3 linked regions of the Rattus norvegicus genome follow. The protein of the gene in region 1 interacts with the protein of each later gene in a biochemical or structural test. Links are inferred from orthologs where the notes say so. Each region holds a gene or a part of one and is shown in the gene's direction. Other genes may lie near its edges. The genes, in order: Eea1, Rab31 and Rab5c.

Region 1 (4,363 bases):
GAACCTAACAGAGAGGACAGCATCCTAGCAGCCCCATTGACTCACAAGTTGACACTGCATTTAGCTTTTCCACAAGTCCCTAGGATTACTAGCTACAGAGAAACCTTACCCGAGGTGTTCAATGCCTCTTTCTTTTGCACAGTCTTTTTGCAAATTGGGAGCCCACCCAGGAATCCTCAATTCCCAGGCCTTTCTGACTACTCCCTCAGCTCCCAGGTCATTAGGTATAGTCAGTATCCTAAGCCTCACCTTGTGCAGTTTAGTCATCTAGAACCTGCCAGAGGCCTCCCAAGCCTGGGGGAGAAACAATTATTACAGAACAACCTCGAATGTACATCACAGAGAGTTTTAAGTGACAAATAACACAGAAAACTCACATCCTAGTTGGCAGTTGCAGGAAGAAGCAAGCAAGTAGTTAAACAGAAGCCAAGGACACGAAGTTAGCTGGGGTATTTCAACTCCTTGCTTTTAGAACATGGTTAGGTGCTTTCCCATGGAAGGGTGTGTGTGTGTGTGTGTGTGTGTGTGTGTGTGTGTGTGTGTGTGTGTGTGAGAGAGAGAGAGAGAGAGAGAGAGAGTGAGAGAGAGAGAGAGAGAGTGTTTTAGCTTAAAACAAAGATGGCTCCAGCCGAACTAAGATGAAGAGACCTTTGCCCTGTCACAAAGGAATAACCTCAAACTTCTCTAGTTAATCCAAAACCCAGCCTCCTCCCATGCTTTACTGTGGCTCTAGCTGCAATTAGAAGCAGGAAAGCGGGTAAACTGGGACTGGAAAAGCAGAGGTTAGCCCAACATGGTTAAGTAGGCCTCGGTTTCTCGGGTTCACACTGGCTTGGAGCTTAGTGGTCGAATCAGCCTTTCCAGCCAAGAGGAGGATTGGGCTCAGGGTCGACGCACTAAGAGCGCTCCAAACTTCCATCATAAGCTGGAGCTCGGCTGAAGGTAACACTGGAGCCTGTTCCTCCAGCCCGGGGTGGGGTCACCTCCAGGAGGGACTCATGAGGTGTCCACTCAGCTTCTCCATCAGGATGCAGCCCTCTAAATTCCTGAGCAGGGTCCGGCGCCCAGAGGTCCAAGCGCTGGGCGGAAGAAGCTGAAGAATCAGCTTCCTGCCGCCTGTCTGTCACGCCTGACCCGCTTCCGATTGGTCAAACCCTCAAGCCGGGCCCACCTCCTGCCCCGCCCTCCTGCGGATGGACAGGCCGAGGAGGCGGGGCTGCAGCGACTCCGCCCCTCGGCCACGGCGGGCGGGCCCGCCCAGCTGTCAGTTACGGGGGCGGCCCGGCAGGCGGGCGCTCGCTGGCTACCTCCTCGCTGGCTCGTGCTCGCAGCCTCTCGCCGCCTGTGGGGAAGTCGGGGCCGCCAAAGCCGCGTCCACCGCCGCCTCTTCCCCGCCCTCCTCCCGGCTCGGCTGCCGGCCCTCGCGCCCTCCAGTCGTGAGTAACCCGCATTGGGTGCGGAGAGTCCCCGCGGCGGCGGCGGCGGCGGCGGCGGCGGCTGGACAAACCATGTTTCGGAGGATCTTGCAGAGGGTAAGAGTGAAACCGTCCTTCCGGCAGCACGTGAGCGCGAGCGTCCGAGCCCTGGTCGCGGGCAGCCCGGGCAGGCGGACGGGGGTGCTCGGGGCTCCACTAGGCCCGGTGGCAGCGTGCGCCGAGGCCTGCAGGTCCTGCCGGAGCCGGGCTGCGGGTGGGGCGGGGCGCAGGCCGGAGCCCGGAGGCCCCAGGCCGGCTCCCGCGCGGGGCTGTCACCACGGGCTGGAGGGTGTGGTGCCCGCGCGTCCCTCCCCGCTCCCCGCCCGTGGGTGCTAGGCTGTGCTGGGCGGTGGGCGGCTGCCGGGCCCTTCCCTGCTCCAGCTTGCCTCCACTTACCCCACAACACACACCTGCCTCTCGACGCTCTGCTTCCTTACTCTTCTGCACCGTACAAGAGGGTAATGGGAGACCCGGCCTAGTGCTGGGACTTAAAGAAGCTTAACTGCCAAAGTGGAGAAGGAAGATATTACTCACTGTTGGAAACTTTCTTTTAAGAATTACAAGTGCATTTTCCTTTCCAAGACCCAGAGCCTCATTTTAGTTATCCAGGAATAAATGGATCAAAAGGCAAATGCACTCCAGTTTAGTTTCTACTGGGGCTTTCTCAATGTAAAATCTGGAAAATCTTGAGGGTAAAAAGGTAAGAGCGTTGGAAAGCCGTAGGTGTTTTGTTTAGGTACCAGTTCCTAGAATAACATAATTAAATTCTCTTCTAATAAGAGTTGCCTACTCAAGGTTTTGTTTTGGATGGCTTCCATTCGCTCACTTCTGAGACTGGTTAATGTAAAGAGATGTTACCTAAAGAGTAGGAGAATTAGTTCAAAGGACAGGAACTTAATGAATGTGTAGTACTTAGTTAAGGAATGTGCCAAGGAGGGTTGAGTCAGCTAGTACACAGGAAGGGAAGATTCTGTTTAGACAGCTTCTGTGAAACGTTGAAGTCATCTGGTCATGCATCAGAGGAAAAATAGTTAACTCCTGCCTCTGACCCTCTGGAGTGACATTTGAGTTCTTTTTTCCTTTTGCAATCGTTTTGGTAGTTTTTTGAAAATTTGATAAAGCGGTACTTTGGTAGCAAACAAGGGCATACCCTTTTCTCTCCTCATCAGTTGCCTTGTCTAAGAGTAAAGGCTTCTGTGCATGATTGATTATTATATGTATATATATATATATATAATATATTTGTCATAGTTACACAAAAGAAAAGGAGTTTGTGGTTTTAAAGTTTATCAACAGTGTTTTCTGATTTGGGAGTTGCTTCTGGTGGCTACAGTCTGACTTTCAAAAAATGTGGGTTGCTTTCCAGTTTTGAAGACCTGGGATTATGTGAAGGTCATTCTTAGTATTGTTTGTTTATCTGTTCTAGAAGTCTCTGTCAAGACCAACACATGGTGATTACTGTGGTTACTGCTGAGATGTATTACTGAATCCTCATATTTAAATAAACCAGATTGACAAATGGGCTTTTCAGCCTTGGAACTAGAGATTCTTGTGAGCAAGTCATTCTGTCCTAGTGGTGGCCTAGGATGTATTTGTCAGTAGTTAAGGTCATCCATACTTCTATTGAGTAAATGATAGCAACATTACTTCCAATATTATATCTGCTTTGAGGCAACCGAAATTATCTCCAGACTTTACCAAATGTTCTCTAGGGGCTAAATTGCCTCTGGTTGAGAGCCACCATCATGTATATGTGTATGTGTATATGATGTATATGGATATATCCATCAATAGAAAATCTTGAAATGTCTCTTATAGTTAATGTTCTCTTCTACAGTGTGTATGTTGAGCTTCAGTAGGATTCAGGCATAATGTTAGGAGCTATGAAATGGTTTTTAATAAGATGTGGCCCTCCCTTTAGAACTCAGTACCTGGTTGGGGAGGTGAACATCAAAAAGTAATTACAGTGCTGTGAACTGGAAGAATGAGGAATGCTCTGGGAGCTACTTTGGAGGAGGGTGTTAGGCAGTTATGATAAGCTTCGGGAAGGAGGGCATATTTATAGCTTGAGAGCAAAGGACATTGTCAGGCTGAGGGAATAGCCTTTATAAAAGTATGGGACCATTAAAGGAACAAAACATGCTTGGGGGAGATGAACAGTTAAGTTTAAGAAGTGAGATGGTATTCAGGGATGGGTGGGATATGAGGCTACTCTAGTGAGGAGTGACCAAATTAAGAGAGGAACCTGTAGCTCTTTGAAGGTGTTCAAGTCTGCCTTTGATGACGATAGGACTTGTGATCTATATTACTAATGTAGATCCTATACTGGGTGTTTTTTATTAACTCTACAGGTGTTTTTTGCTAACAGGTATAACATGAATCTTTAAATTTTGTAAATGTCAATTTTATTCACTTTGCCTGTCAACCTTATTTCTCAGCAATGGCATTAAGATACAAAACTGAAACTATACACACTGATTTAGAGCTTTGCTGAGCAGTCTCTACGCTTCTAACTACATCTCACTGCCCTTCACATCCTGTTTTTAGATGACCTTTTATTTTGACTATTATAATTTTCTTCTGATTGGTATACTTTAGATAACATTTTGAAAGACAAAGGACATTACACATATAATAAATTCTAGCTTAGTCTTTGAACATTACTAGGCAGTCCTTAGGATACATCACAGAAATTTTCTTCTTCCTCTTCTTCTATTAGCTTACTAAAGGTGTTATTGAGGCTTAGAAAAGTCTGGAAAGATGGTAATGGTGATTAAGACACTCTGATATGGATGTGAGGAGTAAGTATTTTGATTCAGATACTAGCCTCGTTACATTTCTGTTGCTGTGATAAACACCATGAACAAGGCAGCTTGTAAAAGAAGGTG
Region 2 (4,107 bases), on another chromosome or scaffold:
AAAGACAAGGAGGAACTCCAGACCCAGGGTACTGATAAGAACACCTGTCCAACATGAAAGTCAGGTAATGAGAACTTCTGCTGACACTGGGCCTTGAAACTACAAAGTCCACATCAACAGCTAAAACTTCCCTTTCACAAATCCCTCTTCAGCCCTATAAAGCCCGAAGCACACACTGGCGGCCTCCACTGCATGAGAGACAACTGTTCTTCATTGTTCTCATTAAAGGATGGTTCTGCTTCTGTACTGGTCAGTCTGTTTCCAGGTTGCCTGGTCAATCAGTTTCTAACAGCCACCACTCCTGCGGGCAGGGGAGCCACATCCAGTGTTGTTGAAAACACATGCTTACAATTAGAAGTGCCAGTAGATTTAGATTACTCCTCAAGAGCCGTCATTTGTATACAGCAACAAATGAAGTCATCCCAGAGGCTGGAAGGACACTGGGCCATACAAAGACCAGAGGGCATGGCCCCTCAGTGTGAAGCCATGCTGCACATAGCCTCAGTTTCCTAGTAGAGGAGTCTGCAGAAGGGTTGTCAGCCCCCCACTCGTGGCTGTTCTTGTAGCTGGGCTCCTGCCCACACAGCTGTAGTATTTTCTACATGGAGAAAGGGGGGCTTCCTCTCCAGAGTGCACCTTTCCTTTCCCAGGCCTCAGTGCTCCAGTTTTGGAAACAGAAACAGTTGTTCGCTTCTTGGCTGCTTCTCGAATCATCCCTGAATCATCGTCCTTTGCCGCCGTACAGAAAAAAATGCGCACAGGGTAAAGTGAAGTGTTGGGAGGAAGCCTGGACGCTAGGAGAGACAAGTTAACCCTTTCCTCTCCTCACCCCAGTCCCTGGCCGCCGCTGTTTCTTACATCTAAGAGGTCAGAGTTACTTTATGGTGGGACTACCCAGGGACTTGGAAGTTCTTCCTTGGGACCAAAGCCAACAGCATGAACTGGACGAATGGCTCTTTATGATGCGACGGGTTGTGTCCAGGTCTCCCAAGGCAAGTGATGCTCGACCAGACTCCGAGCTGATCGCGGGAGGGGACGGTCTGCCCGCAAGTCCGTTGTTGGGTGGTCACCGGAGGCCGAAGCGGGACCGGGGCCGGGCGGAGCCGAAGCCCCGCGGCTAGGCTAGACTAGACGCGTCGGGAGGAGCCGGCCGGCGGCACGTGACCGACAGCGGAGGCCGCGGCCCAGAAATAGCCGCCTCGGCGGTTCCGCCCCGCGGCCGGCGAGAGCCCTGGGAGACGGCTGGACGCAGGCTGGGCGCGGTGCGGCCCGGACGATGCTGCTGAGCCCCGGCCCGGCCCGACCCAGAGCACATGATGGCGATACGGGAGCTCAAAGTGTGTCTTCTCGGGGTGAGTCTTGGCCCCAGCCTACGGGGATCCCGGCTTCTACGCGCCTTTGTCCCCGCGCTGCCCGCCTCCCGCGCGCTCCCCTGGGTCCCGCGCGCTCCATCCCGCGCCCCACACCGGCCGCCGGGTCCCAGATGCTCCGGAGCGCCTCCGGTCTGCGGCCGCGCGTCTGGCAACCTTGGGGCTCGCCAAGCTGCAGGTCCGGCAGGGCGGGGTGGAGGAGTGGGAGGTTGGGGGTTGTTGAGAACAGGACGACTGCGGGTCCTGCAGCCCCTGAGCCCCTACGGCTTTTGCCTCTGCCACTGGTGGTTACTTCCCTGAGGAATATTTAAGTCACTCCGCGGAGGCTCTGGTTTTCCTCTGCCTCCTGCAGGGGTGGGTAGAAAGCGGTGGTGGCAATTGCTTTATCCTCTCAGAAAACAAACCAACAAACCAATCCTTCCAAGTAAGAGTGGGAGGACCGGGGTTTTGGCCCCACTGCGAAGCCTTAAGAGCAAACTATGTATGAACTGTACGTCCAGCACACTTTCCGTGCAGTGGGTGAAAATGAAGCAGGATGAGAAACACCCGCCCCCATCACCCTTCCTCTTCCAAAATGAGTGTCAGTCCCAAGAAATATAAAAGCAGTCAGAAACAAAGAAAGAAAAGGCATCCAAACCCTGAGACCGGCAGACCAGACTGACATACTCTGCCACTGTGCGCTGTCCCCTTGAAACGCCCAGGGGATTCGGCGTAAGGGGTCATTTCTTTGGGGCTACCCACACCAAATTCCGGAAGTCTTCCCAAGTAAGAGTTGATGTTAAGCCTTGTTTTCTGTAGTCTTCTGCAGTCTTCTGTAGTCTTTGGCATTAGCACCGGGCATACTGCCCTTGAAGTTGGCAAATCTGGCCCTGTAAGGAAAAGTATTTCCTAAATAAAAGAGTAGGGCCACATCCATTCTTCTCAAAGAAATGCTAATGGGTCTGTCAGGGTGGATGTGGAGGTGAATACAGGCAATGACTGTGGATTAGGGTCGAATGCACCAGGAGCTTGTGGTTTCATCTGGGCCCCCTCGATGGAAGGAAGTGTTGGGGACCGAACCCCACACTGCCCTCAGCCCTCCACACTTCCCACTAGTTGCAGTGGTTTGTAGAGAATCCCAAGGGTCTGACAAAGACCTTTTCTTCCTCTTCAGAGTCAAGCAGAGTCTAGGGCTCCTCACCCAGGAGGCTGGGCAGGATGCTGCTCTTGGAGTTCTCCTTTGAACTTTTGGTGTCATAGGAGCAAGCTTCACGTCTGCGGGGGAATAGTCTAGAACTAGGAGTCCCACAGGAGAAAGGCCTTTGAAGATTTCAAAGGAACATCAGGCCCCACGAAAAGGAAGCTTTGGTGCTAGGGCCATGTAACAGTTAGCCATGGGGAACGATGAAACAGGAAACACGTTTGGCTGTTGGAGGTGAGTTACACCTCTCCCTTTGCAATCTACCTACCGAGGTGCTCAGGCTCAGTCCCATTGACATTTTCTTTAATTTGTAGTTTCAGTGTCCTATTAGGACAGTGATGAATGTGGCAAGGGCTCAGAACCAGGAATCAAGAGGCCTGGCCTGTCTTCTGCCCCAGGGCCTGGAAGGGCTGAGTAGGTAGTTAAGTGGTTTAATTGTAGACTGGACATATCATCCTTTCTCTTTGAAGGCAGAGATCTCTATACTCGATGGTCTCTTACCGGGTGTGTGTGTGTGTGTGTGTGTGTGTGTGTGTGTGTGTGATGTGTGTGTGTGATGTGTGTGTGTAGTGTGTGTGGTATTGTGGTGTGTGTATGTGTGGTGTGAGTGTGGGGTGTGTGGTATGTGTTTGTATGTGTGGTGTATGTGGTATGTGTATGTATGTGTGTGTGTGGTGTATGTGGTATTGTGTGTGTGTGTGTGTGTGTGTGTGTGCGTGTGTGTGCGTTTATGTGTGAGTGACCATTTCCTGCTGGTCTGCGATGGTGAGAAGCCTGGGTGAGATGACGTAACTGGAGAAACTCTTCTTTTTCTCTCCATCTCCACAAACAAAGCAATCTCCACAGGCTTCCTAGAGGCAGTGATGGTGCCTTATTTTGATTTTGGTCTCTTTGTGATGGCCCTACAGATAGGAATTTAAACGGGGGGTGGAGGACGCTATAACGGAGAAAGAAGAAAATTCTGGAAGTTTTGAAACCCCATTCATCTCATGCCACATCAGCGGCTCCCTGTTTTGAAGGGAGCTTCACATTTTAGTGTTGCCAAGGTCAGAAGATACTTTATTTCAAAGAGCAAGCGAACTGGCCCATACTGAGTACCAGTCCTTAGGCTTCCAGGCTTCTCTTGGCTGGTCTTTTTCTGGGCCAGATGTGACAGTGTGACTGACAGGGTGCATCTGTAGCTACCTACCTAAATACCCTGGCTGTATGTTTGAGGTGGTCTTAAGATGCTCTTTAAGGGAGGTCCACAGCCTTGGTATACTGCCTGCTCAAATTTGAGAGATCCCCTGTGCTTGATGATGGAGTCCTCAGTGAGTCAGTCCTACAGTCCTTTTAGGATTTCAGCAGGAACCCTAGACCTTGTTGTCATGGTCAGGCACACCTGCTCTGGGTGACTCTCAGCTTCCTGTTTTGTTTTAAAGCTATGTCACAGATCCCTTGAAGCCTTATATACCCTGCCAGCTTTACCCTCAGTTGCCTAGAAGGTGGCATAGTGTATTTACTGCATACCAAAGTCTGACTCCTGCTGGAAAGGCCTGGTGGCTAGTCTTTGTGCTT
Region 3 (3,599 bases), on another chromosome or scaffold:
GCAGGGAGAACAGCCTGATAACAAATGAGCCTGTGTGTACTAACCCGAGTAGCCAGTAGTGTCCTGACTCTGTCACTTGTATACTGAATGGCCTTGACCCGGGCACTTAATATTGTCGAGTTATGTCTATAAAAATAGAAGGTTATGTTAAAGCTCAAAAGAGATAATAGTGCAGTTCTCCTTGAGTGCTAGCTCCGTCTGTCAGAATGATTGCTGAGGTAAGCACTCTGAGTTCCTAGAACACGCATGGGCATTGAGAGCAAGCTCTCCCAATGAAACTGTACAGGCCTTGTCTTTCCTGTCCAGGGTGACTGAGAAAGCATCTTACCTATGGCATGTCTAAATGACATTTCTGGTTAGTAATCATATTGAAGATTGCCGCCGCCCCCCCCCCCAACTTCCTTCCTTGTACTTTGGGGAAGAGGTGGCCCCCATTTCAAAGCTTTTTTTTCCTTTAGTGCTGCCCAGAAAGGAAACAGTTGCTCCTGATTAGTGAGTCATTCTTCCTGAAGCTCACTTTTAAAATGAATTGTTGGGAGATTCTGGATGTGCAAAGGATTTGAGGCTGAACAAAGCAGGCCCTTTGCTGTCAGCTTCTTACAGGGACACAGAGCTTCCCACAGGCCTCTGTTCATCATTTCCCTGTCCCTGGACTATAGGGGATACACTCCCGTTCAGGGGAAGTTCAGCTCTCCCTATGTGTGTTCTGATATCTTTCGACATATGTTTTCTAGAGGCTTCTCATCCTTCTGTGCAGTTTGGAAGCTTCCAGAAAGTTTGAGTTTCTGAGGCTGAGTGGTAAACTCAGGACTGGACCACCAGCTGCTAGGAAAGTAGGTCTCAGTGTCATGTTTGCCTCCACCCGTCCTCCCCCTAAGCTTCCTTTGTGTCACCTCTGCCTCTGCCAGTAGGCAGTGGAAGCTAGGTCTCTATTTAAAAGGGAGAGCTGGCAGCAGAGACTTGGGGCAGAGCTCCGGCCACAGAGCATGTTTGGTTTTCTGTGTGGTTTGTTTTTTAATGTGTGTGAGACTTTAGGCCCTTCCAAAACTGAAGACGGGAAAGACGCTGAGGAAGTGCAAGGGAGCATGCTTAGATTCTGGTGTACAGCCTCAGAAAGGCAAGAAAGTCAGTCATTGTGCTGTGTGGCACAAGCCTGGCCATTCTGATGACAACTCTAGCTTGCCAGGTCTTGCTCTCCGAGTACCATAAGCACCGTATCTGAGGAGCTGGCTGCCAGGGCCTGCTGTGCCTTCACCCACCTCCCCACACTGCTCCTGCAGAGTAGGCTGTGAGCCTAGTATTAGACTACAATCTTATTGTTTGATGACCTAAATCCTAGTTGTCTTCCAGGGCCCTCTTTTGGGGGAGTGCAGAGGTAGAGCTCAATGAACCTGTTGACTCATGCTGGTATCCATTCCTCTCCTGTATTTTTTTAAGTGAATTTATGTTTTTGAGAGAGGGAAGTCTGAGTTTTTGCTCAGGAACCATGAGCCTAACGTTGGGAAGCCATTTTGCTTGGTACCACTCTGCGGGAGAGAGTATAGTTCAATGTAGTAAAGACTTCCTGTTCAATCCTGTGGAAAGGGCTGGAAGTCTAGGGGCAAGAGCAGTTACCCAGGTCATCAGGGAGGGCACCTTTGACAGTCTCATTCTAACTCCCTACTTCTGATTTCTCCCCTGCAGTTGGAGGCCTCCCTTCCCATTAAGTGCCTCTTTGCAAAGCACCGACCCCACCCCCACGCTCACTGGTACTACTACAGAGCATCGCACCATGGCGGGTCGAGGAGGTGCAGCACGACCCAATGGACCAGCTGCAGGCAACAAGATCTGTCAGTTTAAGCTGGTCCTCTTGGGCGAGTCTGCAGTGGGCAAATCCAGCCTGGTCCTCCGCTTTGTCAAGGGGCAGTTCCATGAGTACCAGGAGAGCACAATTGGAGGTGAGTGAGCAAAGGGAGTCGGGAGGCCAGAGGTGTCTGGAGGAGAAGGAAAGCTGTGCATACAGAAACTGGGTCTGACCTTGGAACACCTTTTTGTCATTGGGCTCTGGAGTTGAACCCAGCAGTCAGAAGCAAGGATGCTAAGAATTACCTAGGGATTGAAACTGGCTTTCTGCTCTAGTCTGGCCTCTATTATTTGTGTGGATGTGAGGCCTTTTTTTTTTCTTCCCTGCAGGGCAGTATGTGTGTCCTGTCCTCTGTCCTCTGTTGCTGTCCTTTGTTCTTTCTGGAGCTCAGAAGGTATCTCTGATTCCCCATTGGGCAGCATTTAGGATGTGAATAAGGGTCTAGACTCAGTCTCTCACATCCTTAGTCAATTTGAGCCTCTCAAATTTGAGCCAGCCTTGACTTGAGTCTTCCTTCTGCTCTCCTGGTTAGTAGATTTCAAGGCAGCTGGAAACAGAATGGGCCATGTCAGCAGTCTTCTCACTGCCTCCTCAGCTCTGTTAGGAGTTAGAGAGAGGGAAGTGAGTTGGCAGCCCAGGCTCTTCAGGGGGCTGGGGATGTGGGGAACAGCAACAAGGAAAACCGCTTCCCACAGAACTGTCATAATCTTCTGCTGAGTCCAGGATATGGGGAGTCCTACCTGTCTACCTGTCTGTCCCAGCTCTAGGATTTTCCTTCAAAGCATGTTTGCCTCAACCTCTCACATCTATAGTCCTTGTGAACCTCAAGAGGCCAGGGCTACCCATGGACTTGAGTCTTCCTTCTTTGCTCTCTTGGTTGGTAGGAGGTTTCTAGGCAGCTGTGTTTCTGTCTCAGGTAGCATCTGTATTCAAACCACAGGTTGGCCATACAAGAACAGTTCTGAGTCACAGTGGGGATAGTGGCTTGCTGGAGTGCCTGGAGGTGGCAGGGGTAGTTGGGAAGCCAGCCACCCAGCCACAGCCTGGCAGTGTGACAGTGTATATTTCCCAGAGAGAATACCTTCCCAAAACTGAAGGTCGCTTTCACCCCTGAGCTGAAATGGGTCTGTGAAGGGCAGCGGAAGGAAGGCTAGGGGGAATGGAAGCTTACCTTTTCGAGGTTGGCATCAGGGTTCCCCCATGCCTCCCTTATCCAGCCCCTGCTGTGCTTTGCAGGGTGGCTCTGAAATGACTCAAGTGCAGACACTTCCCAGACAACATAGAGGAGCATAAGCCCCACCTGCCCTGTGTGGACAGGCTTCTACATGCCAGAATCAACAACAGAGACACCCAAGTCAGGGTGGTTTCCAGCTCCTCCTTGCCTAATGACAGCACCTTTTCTCTTGCAGCGGCTTTCCTCACACAGACTGTCTGCTTAGACGACACAACGGTCAAGTTTGAGATCTGGGACACAGCTGGGCAAGAGCGATATCACAGCCTGGCCCCGATGTACTATCGGGGGGCCCAAGCAGCCATTGTGGTCTATGACATCACCAACACAGTAAAGACTTTCCTTCCTTTCTCTTTGCCCTTCATTTCTATTTGCCCATACCCAAGAACTGGGTTATAAAAACTTCATTTTTCAGGCTGGAGAGATGGCTCAGTGGTTAAGAGCACTGACTGCTCTTCCAGAGGTCCTGAGTTCAATTCCCAGCAACCACATGGTGGCTCACAACCATCTGTAATGACATCTGAT

What was found.
Region 2: the proteins of Eea1 (region 1) and Rab31 form a complex in vitro, tested with the Homo sapiens proteins (2 studies listed by BioGRID). The link is inferred for Rattus norvegicus from reciprocal best matches to the Homo sapiens genes EEA1 and RAB31.
Region 3: the proteins of Eea1 (region 1) and Rab5c form a complex in vitro, tested with the Homo sapiens proteins (2 studies listed by BioGRID and IntAct, with this or other methods). The link is inferred for Rattus norvegicus from reciprocal best matches to the Homo sapiens genes EEA1 and RAB5C.

Annotation. Positions count from the first base shown.
Region 1 is NC_086025.1:32,490,286-32,494,648, forward strand, and holds the start of Eea1 (early endosome antigen 1), read left to right. Parts: upstream 1-1,508; coding exon 1,509-1,532; intron 1,533-4,363. UniProt on the Homo sapiens protein: Binds phospholipid vesicles containing phosphatidylinositol 3-phosphate and participates in endosomal trafficking.
Region 2 is NC_086027.1:112,825,209-112,829,315, reverse strand, and holds the start of Rab31 (ras-related protein Rab-31), read left to right. Parts: upstream 1-1,223; 5' UTR 1,224-1,313; coding exon 1,314-1,352; intron 1,353-4,107. UniProt on the Homo sapiens protein: The small GTPases Rab are key regulators of intracellular membrane trafficking, from the formation of transport vesicles to their fusion with membranes.
Region 3 is NC_086028.1:86,145,893-86,149,491, reverse strand, and holds part of Rab5c (ras-related protein Rab-5C), read left to right. Parts: intron 1-817; exon of another isoform or gene 818-833; intron 834-1,683; 5' UTR 1,684-1,771; coding exon 1,772-1,937; intron 1,938-3,252; coding exon 3,253-3,404; intron 3,405-3,599. UniProt on the Homo sapiens protein: The small GTPases Rab are key regulators of intracellular membrane trafficking, from the formation of transport vesicles to their fusion with membranes.